Callithrix jacchus: one gene and its partners. The protein of the gene in region 1 purifies or fractionates together with the protein of each later gene. This does not show direct contact. Links are inferred from orthologs where the notes say so. Each region holds a gene or a part of one and is shown in the gene's direction. Other genes may lie near its edges.

Evidence for each region.
Region 2: the proteins of DGCR8 (region 1) and USP36 purify together in Homo sapiens (affinity purification with western blotting; 3 studies listed by BioGRID, with this or other methods). This does not show direct contact. The link is inferred for Callithrix jacchus from reciprocal best matches to the Homo sapiens genes DGCR8 and USP36.
Region 3: the proteins of DGCR8 (region 1) and SRPK2 purify together in Homo sapiens (affinity purification with mass spectrometry; 3 studies listed by BioGRID and IntAct, with this or other methods). This does not show direct contact. The link is inferred for Callithrix jacchus from reciprocal best matches to the Homo sapiens genes DGCR8 and SRPK2.

Annotation. Positions count from the first base shown.
Region 1 is NC_133502.1:211,864,549-211,868,193, forward strand, and holds part of DGCR8 (microprocessor complex subunit DGCR8), read left to right. Parts: intron 1-16; coding exon 17-159; intron 160-323; coding exon 324-606; intron 607-1,933; coding exon 1,934-2,131; intron 2,132-2,367; coding exon 2,368-2,469; intron 2,470-3,601; coding exon 3,602-3,645.
Region 2 is NC_133506.1:134,566,856-134,570,500, reverse strand, and holds part of USP36 (ubiquitin carboxyl-terminal hydrolase 36), read left to right. Parts: intron 1-2,745; coding exon 2,746-3,429; intron 3,430-3,645. UniProt on the Homo sapiens protein: Deubiquitinase essential for the regulation of nucleolar structure and function. Required for cell and organism viability.
Region 3 is NC_133512.1:75,770,764-75,775,058, reverse strand, and holds the start of SRPK2 (SRSF protein kinase 2), read left to right. Parts: upstream 1-1,461; coding exon 1,462-1,759; intron 1,760-1,903; exon of another isoform or gene 1,904-2,021; coding exon of another isoform or gene 2,022-2,037; intron 2,038-2,126; coding exon 2,127-2,181; intron 2,182-2,697; exon of another isoform or gene 2,698-2,836; intron 2,837-4,295. UniProt on the Homo sapiens protein: Serine/arginine-rich protein-specific kinase which specifically phosphorylates its substrates at serine residues located in regions rich in arginine/serine dipeptides, known as RS domains and is involved in the phosphorylation of SR splicing factors and the regulation of splicing.

The DNA of each region.
Region 1 (3,645 bases):
TCGTCTTCCTGTGCAGGTCGTGGTCGCCCACCTACAGAGCCGCTGCCAGACGGGTGGATCATGACATTCCATAACTCTGGAGTCCCGGTGTACCTACACAGAGAGTCTCGGGTGGTCACCTGGTCCAGGCCATACTTCTTGGGAACGGGAAGCATACGGGTAGGGGAGGCATCAGTTGTGACTTTAGGCTTGTAAGTTCTCAGACCAAAACGTGCACATCCACACACACGGCACTGCAGCCAAGCAGAGGCCAGTGAGAGGCATCAGAGTTTTAGACTCTCGGGTTGTCCTTGTAATCCATGTTGCAATTTCACTATCCACAGAAACACGACCCTCCTCTGAGTAGCATCCCTTGTCTGCATTATAAGAAAATGAAGGACAATGAGGAACGAGAGCAAAGCAGTGACCTCACCCCCAGTGGGGACGTGTCCCCTGTCAAGCCCCTGAGCCGATCTGCAGAGCTGGAGTTCCCCCTGGATGAGCCTGATTCTATGGGTGCTGACCCGGGGCCTCCAGATGAGAAAGATTCACTAGGGGCTGAGGCAGCCCCTGGGGCCCTGGGGCAGGTGAAGGCCAAAGTCGAGGTGTGCAAAGACGAATCTGTTGGTGAGTTTTGTTACGGAGTCCTCTTCTTGCCTTCTGGGACCCATAAGCCTTATTTTTCTAATGAAGGCCATCATTGTTGCCAGTTCCTAGTCATACTTGTGAGCAAGGGGCTGCACACCTCCACTCTTTATGTGGTTGAAGGCCTGTCTTCCTGCCCTTACATGAACCTGCCTGGGTATAGCACGCCAGGCTCCTGTGCCTGGGCTCTGTGGGGCCCACATGGCTGAGGCTGCTAGGGAGATGGCTGCTGGCACTGTCAGTGGGCCTTGTTCTTACTGGTTGCTTATATGATCTTTCCCGAAGTCTTGCTTTTTCAGTAGGATGTGCTCATGTGGCATTGTTTTGATTTATCTTGATGAGCTTAGTGAGCCTCTTTAGTCCGCGACTCAGTGTTGGGAAACTGTAACCATTCTATGGACCGTTCCCTCTTCAGTCCTGCAGTTGCTTGCTGAATGTGTGTGGTGTTTTGCATTCTCTCTCTCATGTCTTTTAGCCTAGTCCCACCATCCAAGTCTAAGTTCTCTCTTCAGTGGTGGCAGGTCTCTGAGCCTGCCTGCTGGATTATTTTCAAAGAGCACTTTCCATTTTCTGGGTTTCTGGTTGTCTGCATCTCACTACCCAGCCTGTCTTCACAACTCTGTGGAATGTGGGGTGCCCTAGAAGAGCTATGTGGTGGGGGCTGTTGCTGAGGATGGGGAAGTGGCCTGGGAAGAAATGTGACAAATGTGAGGCCCTGTGCAGGGAGCTGCTTGGGTTGTGTTGCTGAGTATAGAGGTGGCCAGGACGGCTGGAGGGAAAAAAGTGAGGTTGTCAGCGAGGTAGCGGGCACTTGGCATTCCGGTACCTGTTTTGATACACGGAGGAAGTCCTGAAGGCCATCTGACTTTTTAAAATTTATTTTAATTTTTAATTATTTTTTTTTTTTTAAAGATGGGGTTTCTCCATGTTGGTAAGGCTGGTCTCGAACTCCTGACCTCAGGTGATCCACCCACCTTGGCCCCCCAAAGTGCTGGGATTACAGGCGTGAGCCACCACACCCGGCCAGCCATCTGACTTTTCTAAGCTTTCTTTTTTACTTTTCATTTTTATATTCTTGTTCTTGCCCCAAATAAAGTAAAAGAACATCTCAGAAATTCATCTAGAAGGGACCTGCCAGAATCATCTAAGCTGGTGTAGGGAGGCCTTCGTTCTTTGCTTCCCTCCCCTTTGAAAGGGACAAGGAAGGGAAATAGTGTTGTGTGGCCTGGGGCCCCAGGCACTGGGCTTTGAGAGCCTGACTTCTATGTTGGACGTTAAGTAATTTGGTTCTCTGGTAAATCTGGGACAGATCTTGAGGAATTTCGAAGCTACCTGGAGAAGCGTTTTGACTTTGAGCAAGTTACTGTGAAAAAATTCAGGACTTGGGCTGAGCGGCGGCAATTTAATCGAGAAATGAAGCGGAAGCAGGCAGAGTCCGAGAGGCCCATCTTGCCAGCCAATCAGAAGCTCATTACTTTATCAGTGCAAGATGCACCCACCAAGAAAGGTATAAGCCTCTGTATTTTAACATCAGCAGATTGGTTATGCTGTTATTTCTAATGTGATGTGTTGAGGGCATGTTTTATGAGTTGCATTTCATTCGGAGCTTATGTTTATCCCATGAATACAGGGCTCTGCCACATTCACGGTGGTAAGCCCCTAATTATTGACATGGTAACAGGAAGCTGTGTGCTGGCTTGTGGCACTTCTTCACACTTGCTGAGATGGTCCTTTTTGTCACAGAGTTTGTAATTAACCCCAACGGAAAATCTGAGGTCTGCATCCTGCACGAGTACATGCAGCGTGTCCTCAAGGTCCGCCCTGTCTATAATTTCTTTGAATGTGGTAAGTTTGACCTTCTCCATTTCAGTCCTAAAGAATCACAAGGCATCACTTCAGTCAGGACTAGGGAGGCAGGTGCTGACCGCGAACCCTACTCTCCTGGGTTGGGAGGGAAGGGAAGGGTAAAGAGCAGTGCGCTGCAGATGGGTGGCTTATCTCCTTCAGCGTTGTCCCACCTGTGTGGGTGGCTCTACTTTCCCCTTCCAGTCTGTCCCCTCTCCCCACCTTCCGCATCCTGCCACATCTGCCTTGCTTGAGGCTTGGAAATGGACAGGCTTATTGTGAGCAAGGCCTCCCCGCCGTGCACTGTGTCCTTTCCCTGATTGCCTGGTGCCCACAGGTGTCTGAAGGGTTGTTGGACATGCATTTCCCACCAGCTCTGTCTTCCTTGGGCACCCTTACCACACCTTTGTGAAGACCAGTCTTCTTCCCCTTGGAAGCTGGATCCTGGGGATCACTCATTCTTTGGGTGGTGTTTTTTTTGGCAGGCCACATCTTGTGCTTTCCCACTCCGACAGTCTGGTGTCCATCTTTTTTTTTTTTTTTGAGATGGAGTTTCGCCTTATTGCCAGGCTGGAGAGCAGTGGCGCAATCTTGGCTCACTGCAACCTCTGCCTCCCGGGTTCAAGTGATTTCTCTTGCCTCAGCCTCCCGAGTAGCTGGGACTACAGGTGCGCGCCACCATGCCCAGCTAATTTTTGTATTTTTAATAGAGACAGGGTTTCACCATGTTGTCCATGATGGTCTCGATCTCTTGACCTTGTGATCTGCCTGCCTCAAGCTCCCAAAGTGCTTGTATTATAGGCGTGAGCCACCACGCCCAACCCCTGTGTCCATGTTTCATAGACTTCAGTTACTGTCCCGGGCGGCTCTGCCCCTAGCCTCCTGCTGCCCTTCTGGCTGACCATCTCCCAGGTGCTCATTTCCCTCCACTTTCCCAGCTGTGCCCTTTGCTGCTGCCTGTCTGCTACCCTTCTCCAGTCCCAGGGAGCCCCAGGTCTCTACAGTCAAGCATAGGCTCACTCTCTGCAGGGACAGTCCCTGACTGTACCTTGTCTGTTGGCGTGGGCAGATCATGCACACACTTTTAATGTCTTGACTAATATGTTTTAAAACAAGTAATTTTAATTTTAAGAGAACCCAAGTGAGCCTTTTGGTGCTTCGGTGACCATTGATGGT
Region 2 (3,645 bases), on another chromosome or scaffold:
CCAGGTGTGGTGGCATGTGCTTATAGTCCCAGCTACTCAGGAGGCTGAGGTGGGAGGATCACTTGAGCCAGAGATTAAGGCTGCAGTGAGTCACACCACTCTACACCAGCCTGGGCAACAGAAAGAGACCCTGTCTCAAAACAGATTTAAAAAGCAGCCTGTACAACACAGATCACCATCTCCACAGAGAATATTCAGTGAGCTGATGTGGGAGGATCACGTGAGCCTGGGAGTTTGAGGCTCTCGGCAGTGAGCCATGATCACGCTGGTGAACTCCAGGCAAGGTGACAGAGTGAGACCTTGTCTCAAAAAAAAAAAGAAAAGGGAGGCCAGGCACTGTGGCTCACACCTGGAATCCCAGCACTTTGGGAGGCCAAGGCGGATGGATCATTTGCGGTCAGGAGTTCAAGACCAGCTTGGCCAACATGGTGAGACCCTATCTCTACTAAAAATGCAAAAATTAGCTAGGCGTGGTGGCGCACACCTGTAATCCGAGCTACTCAAGAGGCTGGGGTAGGAGAATCACTTGAACCTGAGAGGTGGAGGTTACAGTGAGCTGACATCATGCCACTGCACTCCAGTCTGGGTGACAGAGCGGGACTCCATCTCAAAAAAAAAAAAAAGAAGCAGTCTGGGCAACATAGAAAGACCCCCATCTCCAAGAAAAGTACAAAAATTAGCCAGGTGTGTTGGTGCATATCTGTGGTCCCAGCTGCTTGGGAGGTTGAGGCAGGAGGATTGCTTAAGCACAGGAGGTCAAGGCTGTAGTGAGCCATCGTTGTGCCACTGCACTTCAGCCTGGACAACAGAATGACACCCTGTCTCAAAAAAAGTACAAAGGAAACCTCATGTGTCACAGTAACTCCACAGGCAGAGTGATGCCCGAGGCGGAAGGTCTGCTTCAGGAGAGTCCCTGTGTCAGGCACATCTGCAGTGCTACTCCCTGACCATTAGCATTTTCATGACAAATGTCATTTTCCAAATACACTGCAATTGAACAAGAGTCGTTTTACTCTAAATGACATGGTGCAAGTCCTGATGTGTACAGAAATGTCCAGCTAGTGAAAAGGCTTTGCAGTGCCATGGAAAGATGAATTCCTTTTAGAAGACATTAATAAAGAATATAATGAGCAAAACAAAACTCAGGAGAAAATAGAAGTATGTTCTTATTAAACCTCTGGGAGAGGGAAGAAGACTTTATATGCTTAAAACTGAAGGAGAAAATATAGAAAAATTACAAATTGATTAAGATTGACATTTTTGTACATAAATTATTACAAATACAAATGAAACAATAACACCTTTTAAATATTTTGGACAAAAGGTTAGCATTTGTAAACACAAGAACGCATTTAAATGACGATCACCCTAGTGCATGTGCAGAGAATACGAATGTTAAAGTGGTCATGGCCAAAGCAGTGTCAGATCAGCAAATGTTTTGCAAAATGTATGTTGCTGGAGTATAGTCAATGCAGTTTGGCAGTACACATCAGGTTTCATGAAAATATTCATAGCCTCGTAATTCCATTTCTGGAAAATTAGCATGGCGTACTAAGCACAGGAAAAGCTCAAAAAAATATTTTTTAAGCACTGACTGCATACCAGACCGTTGAGTTGCTGGTGAGGGCTGCAGCAGGAACAGAAGAGGCACAGGTACAGCCTCATGGTAAAGCAGGGGAGGCGGGCCTTCAGCATCTGCACGGAGAATAACAAGTTACTTCCATGCAGTTGTAATATGTGCTCTGAAGGATAACAGATAGACACACATACACTGTACTGTATTGTTAATTTCAACAGTTGGAGACTATAGCTTATATAAATTAACCATACAGTGAGATGGTTGCCAGTAAAACATGAAAGACGGGCCTGCAGTCAGGTTGCATTGCTCAGGGCTGTAATCCCAGTACTTTTGAGAGGCCAGGATGGAAGGACTGCTTGAGCTCAGGAGTTCGAGGGTGCCAGCCAGGGCAACATAGGAAGACCCCCATCTCTACAAAATAAATAAAAAGTATTCCGGTGTGGTGGCCTACTCCCGATAGTCACAACTACTTGGGCAGCTGACGTGGGAGGATCTCTGGAGTCCAGAAGGTTGAGGCTGCAGCCTGGGCGACAGAGCAAGACCCTGTCTTAAACACATTTATTGAGAGTTATAGTCTATAAAAATGCTTGCGATAATAGCATTAAGATAAAACTGGGATGTAACTCTGCAGGCCAGAGCCATTCGGAAGAAAAGACCAGAAGAAAGCACTAGTGCGTGGATGCATGGTTGTGTTTAAGTGGTAGAACTTTGCTAAATTGTTTTCCCTTATACTTAGTTCTCTTTCTCAAATCTTGGAAAATGTACTGCTTTCATAGTAAAGATGGCCATGAAGATATATATTCAGGTCAGGTGTGGTGGTTCACACCTGTAATCCCAGCACTTCTAGAGGCTGAGGCAGATGGATTGCTTGAGGTCAGGAATTCGAGATGAGCCTGGTCAACGTGGCAAAACCCCATCTCTGCCAAAAATACAAAAATTTGCCTGGTGTGGTGGCACACGCCTGTAGTCCCAGTTCTTTGGGGTGTCACGAAACACCAGAATTGTTCAGAGAAGCCAAAGTGTCTTTACCAAGTGTCCACATAAATAGTTTATCTTGAACTTGCCAGTCAGAGGTCATGCCTGCTACTGAGATACGCTGTGGCCTTGTGAAAGCGTGGCCCAGCTGGGACTTCCTCAGTTGTGTTTTCTGCTTTGCTCTCCTTCAGCGACAAGACTCCGGGACGATGAAGAAGCTGCACACCACTGACGAGATTGGGGTGCCTGTTTCCAGGAGTGGCCCCATGGTGGGCCTGAAGTCCCAGAACGGCTATGTTCTTCCAAAGCTGTCCTCAGGGTCCCCTTCCCCTAAACTCTCCCAGACACCCACACACATGCCGACCCTCCTAGATGACCCTGGGAAGAAGGTGAAGAAGCCAGCTCCTCCACAGCCCTCTTCCCCGTCCCCCAGAACTGCTCAGGGGCCACCTGCTACCAGCAACTCGAGTAGCAGCAGATCTGGGATCCAAAGTCAGGGCTCCTGGGACAGCAGGGATGGTGTCCTCTCTACCTCACCTAAGCTCCGGGCTGCAGCCACTGCCAACGGGCATGGGTTGAAGGGGAACGACGAGAGCGCTGGCCTCGAGAGGAGGGGCTCCAGCAGCTCCAGCCCAGAGCACTCTGTCAGCAGTGACTCCTCCAAGGTCCCGCAGGCCTCCAGGAGTGGAGCTGCCCGTCTCTGCGATTCTCAGGAAAGAAATTGTTGCACTGCTGGTCACTCCAAAATGCCGCCCAATGGAGTGGACCCGAAGACGGTAAAACTGAAGTCTCCTGTCCTGAGCAGTGCTGCTGCCGAGCCACCGAGCACCATGTCTCCTCCGCCAGCCAAAAAACTGGCCCTTTCTGCCAAGAAGGTGGGTGTGCGGGGGTCTCACCACTGCTGTGTATCCAGAGAGCTAGAAGAATTGGTTGGTTGGTTGTGGATTGGAGGGAGCGGGAATGTTGTCTGGGGGCTTTGGCCTCTGTCATGTCAGAGGAACAAGGTGTCTTAGTCATTCCCAGCCGTTTGCAGTTACAGAAGGGCTGTCGGAGTGCAGGCAGTGGGGTGTTGAAGGGGGCCCTGATCTGGT
Region 3 (4,295 bases), on another chromosome or scaffold:
CAGGAGAATCACTTGGACCTGGGAGGCGGAAGTTACAGTAATCTGAGATTGCACCACTGCCCTCTAGCCTGGGTGATAAAGTGAGATTCCATTTCAAAGTAAATAAATAAATAGAAAGAAAACCAAAAAACAAAACCAAGAATGATTCTAGACTAAAGGATTTAAAAAGACATGACAAATTCAGTGGATGATTCTTAATGGTAGCCTGAATTAGGAAAAAAAGAAAATCAGCTACAAGTGATATTACTGGGATATTTTGCAAAATCGAATATGGCCTGTGTGTTACAGATGATTACATTGAATTAGTATGGAAGTTTCTTGGAGTGATCATGGAATTCTGATTATGTAGGAGATTACCTTTGTTCTTAGTAGATATGTATTGATATTTAGGGATAAAGGGTAACTGCAAAAACTCAAATGATTCAGCAAAAATAAACCATACACACAGACAGATAGCATATGTGGCAGAATGTTAAAAATTGGTGGCCGGTGTGGTGGCTCACGTCTGTAATCCCAGCACTCTGGGAGGCAGAAGAGGGTAGATCACGAGGTCAGGAGATGGAGACCATCCTGGCTAACACTGTGAAACCCCATATCTACTAAAAATACAAAAAATTAGCCGGGCAATGTTGGGGTGCGCCTGTAGTCCCAGCTACTCAAGAGGCTCAGGTAGGAGAATCGCTTGAACCCAGGAGAGAGGCAGGTTACACTGAGCCAAGTTTGTGCCACTGCATTCCAGCTGGGCGACAGAGTGAGACTCCATCTCAAAAATAAAAATAAAAATTGGTGAATATGGGTTAATTTGACTGTTGATTATATTTTCCTTGTAACTTTTCTATAGGGTTTGATATTTTTGAAAATAAAAAGTTAAGGGCTCTTCAAAATCCAAGCGGCCTTTTCCATTCTGTCTGGTTTAACATCCTTACAGTAAGCCACCTTGTCAGTTAAAGATACAGTTGTGTAACTAAAGAAGTTAATGGTCAGGATGTGTATCTTCCAAAAACTATTGTAATTATTTACATAAAGAAGAGAACATTGCAGTTATCTTTTTGTGCCACTATAAACTTGATTCAGATCTTTTGTAGGCAGCCTGGTAAGGTGGAGTTTGGGGCCAGCCAGGGCTGAATTTCGATCCTGGCTGGTTAAACTGTTTAGCCTCGTTGTGACTCAGTTTCCTTATTGCAGGATGCAGAAAATAACTACTTGGTGTGATTGTTGTTTTGAATTGTTATACACATGGTGTTTACGGAACCGGGCTTCAATTTATGTGCAAGACTTTTATCCTACTTTGAATGCTCTCCGTATCTTTTCCTTCATTACACTCGTACAATCCTGAAGGGCAGGTAGAGGTGAGAGAGAAAACGACTTCTCCAAGGTCACACTGCGAATCGCGGACTCAGGTTTCCCAGCTTTTGGTCGGGTGCCCTTACCACGCCCGCCAGAAAGGAGGAAGCGGCGCTCATGGGGATGCAAGGATGTAGAGGAGCAAAAGGAGAGAAGAGGCCGCGGGAAGAGAGGTGGTGCGAGACTCGCGGAGGCGCCGGCCAAGGAAGGGCGCATGGAGAGGCGGGCGGCGCGACCGGCCGGGGTGCGGAGAGAGGCCGCTGCGGGGAGGGAGGGTCCCGCGGGCAGGGTGCCCGGGAGAGGCGGGCGGCCTGGGCCAGCCGCAGGGGCGCAGGAAGCGGAGGCCCGGGCTGCGGGCTGGGGCCGGGGAGGCCGAGCGCCAGCGCGGCCATGGGCCGCGGCCACTCCTGCACAGGTGGGTGGGGCGGGGGCGCGGGGCTAGCGGCGCGGGGGTCCCGACCCCCGCGGCCTGCGGGTGGGGGCGGGGAGGGGGCGGGGCCGGCCGGGGGCGGGTCTTGCTGGGCCCCCGCGGGAGCGGCGGCGGCGGCGGCGCAGGCGCGGTTCCCGCCTCCTCCCGGCCGGCGGAGCGAGTGGAGGCTGGAGCCCGGCTCGTCTCGGCGCCCGCGTCGCCGCCGCCGCCGCCGCGAAGCCCCCCGCCCCGCTTCCGCCGCGTCGGAATGAGCTCCCGGAAAGGTGAGTGGCCAGCGGCGCGCCCACTCCTCGCCACGCGGCCAGGCCGGGTGGGCGGCCCGACCGTTAATGTGTGTCTTCTCTTCCCCCAGTGCTGGCCATTCAGGCCCGAAAGCGGAGGCCGAAAAGAGAGAAACATCCGAAAAAGTGAGTCCACGCTGCGCCTGTCCCCGGTCCCCACGCCCGCCCCGTTGGGGGCGCCCGCGGCCGCGCAGGGGAAAGTTGCCCGGGTTCCCGGGCCGGCTGGCGGGCTGGTCCCCTGGGACGCCGGCGCTCGGCTCCTGCGCCCCGCGGGCGGCCCGGGGGGAGGGGCGGCGGCGGGGGAGGGGCGCGCGGGCTGCGGCCGGAGCCCGAGCATCCCGGAGCCTTGACCCCGCGGCTTCCCGCCCCGGGTCGCCGCTGACGGGCGGGAGACCGGCGGGGAGGCGCCGGGCGGGGCGTGCGCACCCCTCCCCTGAGCGCCGAGCGGGCCTGGGGGTCGCGGCCCTTCCCGGGAGGGGCCCCGAGGTCCGCCGCCCGCCGCCCGGCTCCGGCGCGCCGGGTGCTGGCGTGCGGCGGCTGCGCGGCTCCCACCTGAGACGCGGGCGGAGGAGGCGGAGGGGCCGAGTGTGCGCGAGGGCGTGTGTCTCGCCTCCCCTTCCTCCCCGGACCCCGCCTGTCGGCCTTTCTGCTGAGAACCAGAGCTGGTTGTCAAGTGGTTCGCCGCGGGCGTGTTCCTGGCGCGAGTTCAGCCCCGAGACCTGTGCGATTCGGCTCTCGGGTTTGGATTCGAAACTTTCCGCTCGGGTCGATCGTGACTTGGGTGCGTGGCGGGAGCCTGGGTCGCGGGCTGCGCAGGGCGGTGGGCGTGTGCGCGGGGCGGGGGCGGGGGCTGGGGCATGGGGCGGGAGCCCGGCAGGGTGGAAAACGCGCCCGCGCGGGCCACCTCCAGCCTGGCCGCGCACCCGAGCCTGGCGGCAGCTGCCCAAGCGAGAAGCCTTTCCTGGAGAGCTGCTCCGAGACCGCACAGCGCCGCCGCGTCGTCTTTTCCACTCCTCTCTCCTAATTTTTTTGATTTACCAGCGTTCAACATCGTTACTTCGTCCTCTAGATTAATTGCTTCGCTCTTCTGAGCAAGAATACTCTATGTGGCATCTTTGGTACTGTGGGGAACGAGAGTCCAGCATCATCTTTAATAAAATACGGAAACATTTTTGGTTGTTTGTTTCCTTTGAGGGGTACCTCGCAGCACTCTCAGGCTTTTTTCCCCTTCTTGTTGGCCTTGGTCCCTCCCTGGAGAATTTCATAGCCATGGTTGGCTTCTAGGAAAACCGGCTAAGTCATTATTAAGTTATAGGACGACAGGACTTTGTTCATTTAAAAGGAACATATTTGAAAGTATTTTTAGGGCTTCACAGAATGTGGAGAGTGAAATAAAAATACCTGTCTTAAAAAAAGAGTAAGGGGAAAGGACTAAGGACATGAAGAACTAAATTGGTGAGTAAAAATTGGATGTTGAATTTGTAAGATATTAAAACGGAATGGATTTTTGGTAGTTTTAGATGCTTTTAAAAAAATTAATGCTAGTTTTCAAGTGAATTAGAACCTTAAATTTGAGATTTCCTTTGGTGAACCATGGACGTTTACCCAGTGGTAAGGAGAACTGTTATGTTTAGGATTCTGAATGAGTACTGGGTTTTAATCACAGCTTTCAATTCAAAGAATTGATTTAATTCCACGTAGTGTGTTATATTCAGAAACATAAAAAGAAGTGGAAATGGTATGACCCCAGTGTCAGAGATGGCTGTATGTGCATGTATGTACAAACAGACCATGTATGTGTGCATGTTACCTATGCATACATGTAGAACAGTTCTAATTAAGTCAGTATGTGTTTTTTATTTGCATATATTAGGTTATGATTTTCCTAATGGCCAAGGGCCTTTCTGGTGGGCCACAGTTTGGTATGTGGTATGTTTATGAAGACTTGGTGAATAGCCAGCCACAGTACTCAGCTTTTACTCTCATAGATTAATGTGCTGCTTTCTCCCACTGTGTGTTGTGTACATGTGATAGAATTTGAGGCTGCTAGGTAACGGGACCAGCCCAATTATATAACTGATTGAGGCAATACTATTTTTCACAAGACGTTATTTTTCATTTTATTTATTTATTTTGAAACAGAGTTTCACTCTTGTTGCCCAGGCTGGAGTGCAATGGCCCGATCTCGGCTCATTGCGACTTCTGCATCCAGGTTTCAAGCAGTTCTCCTGCCTCAGCCT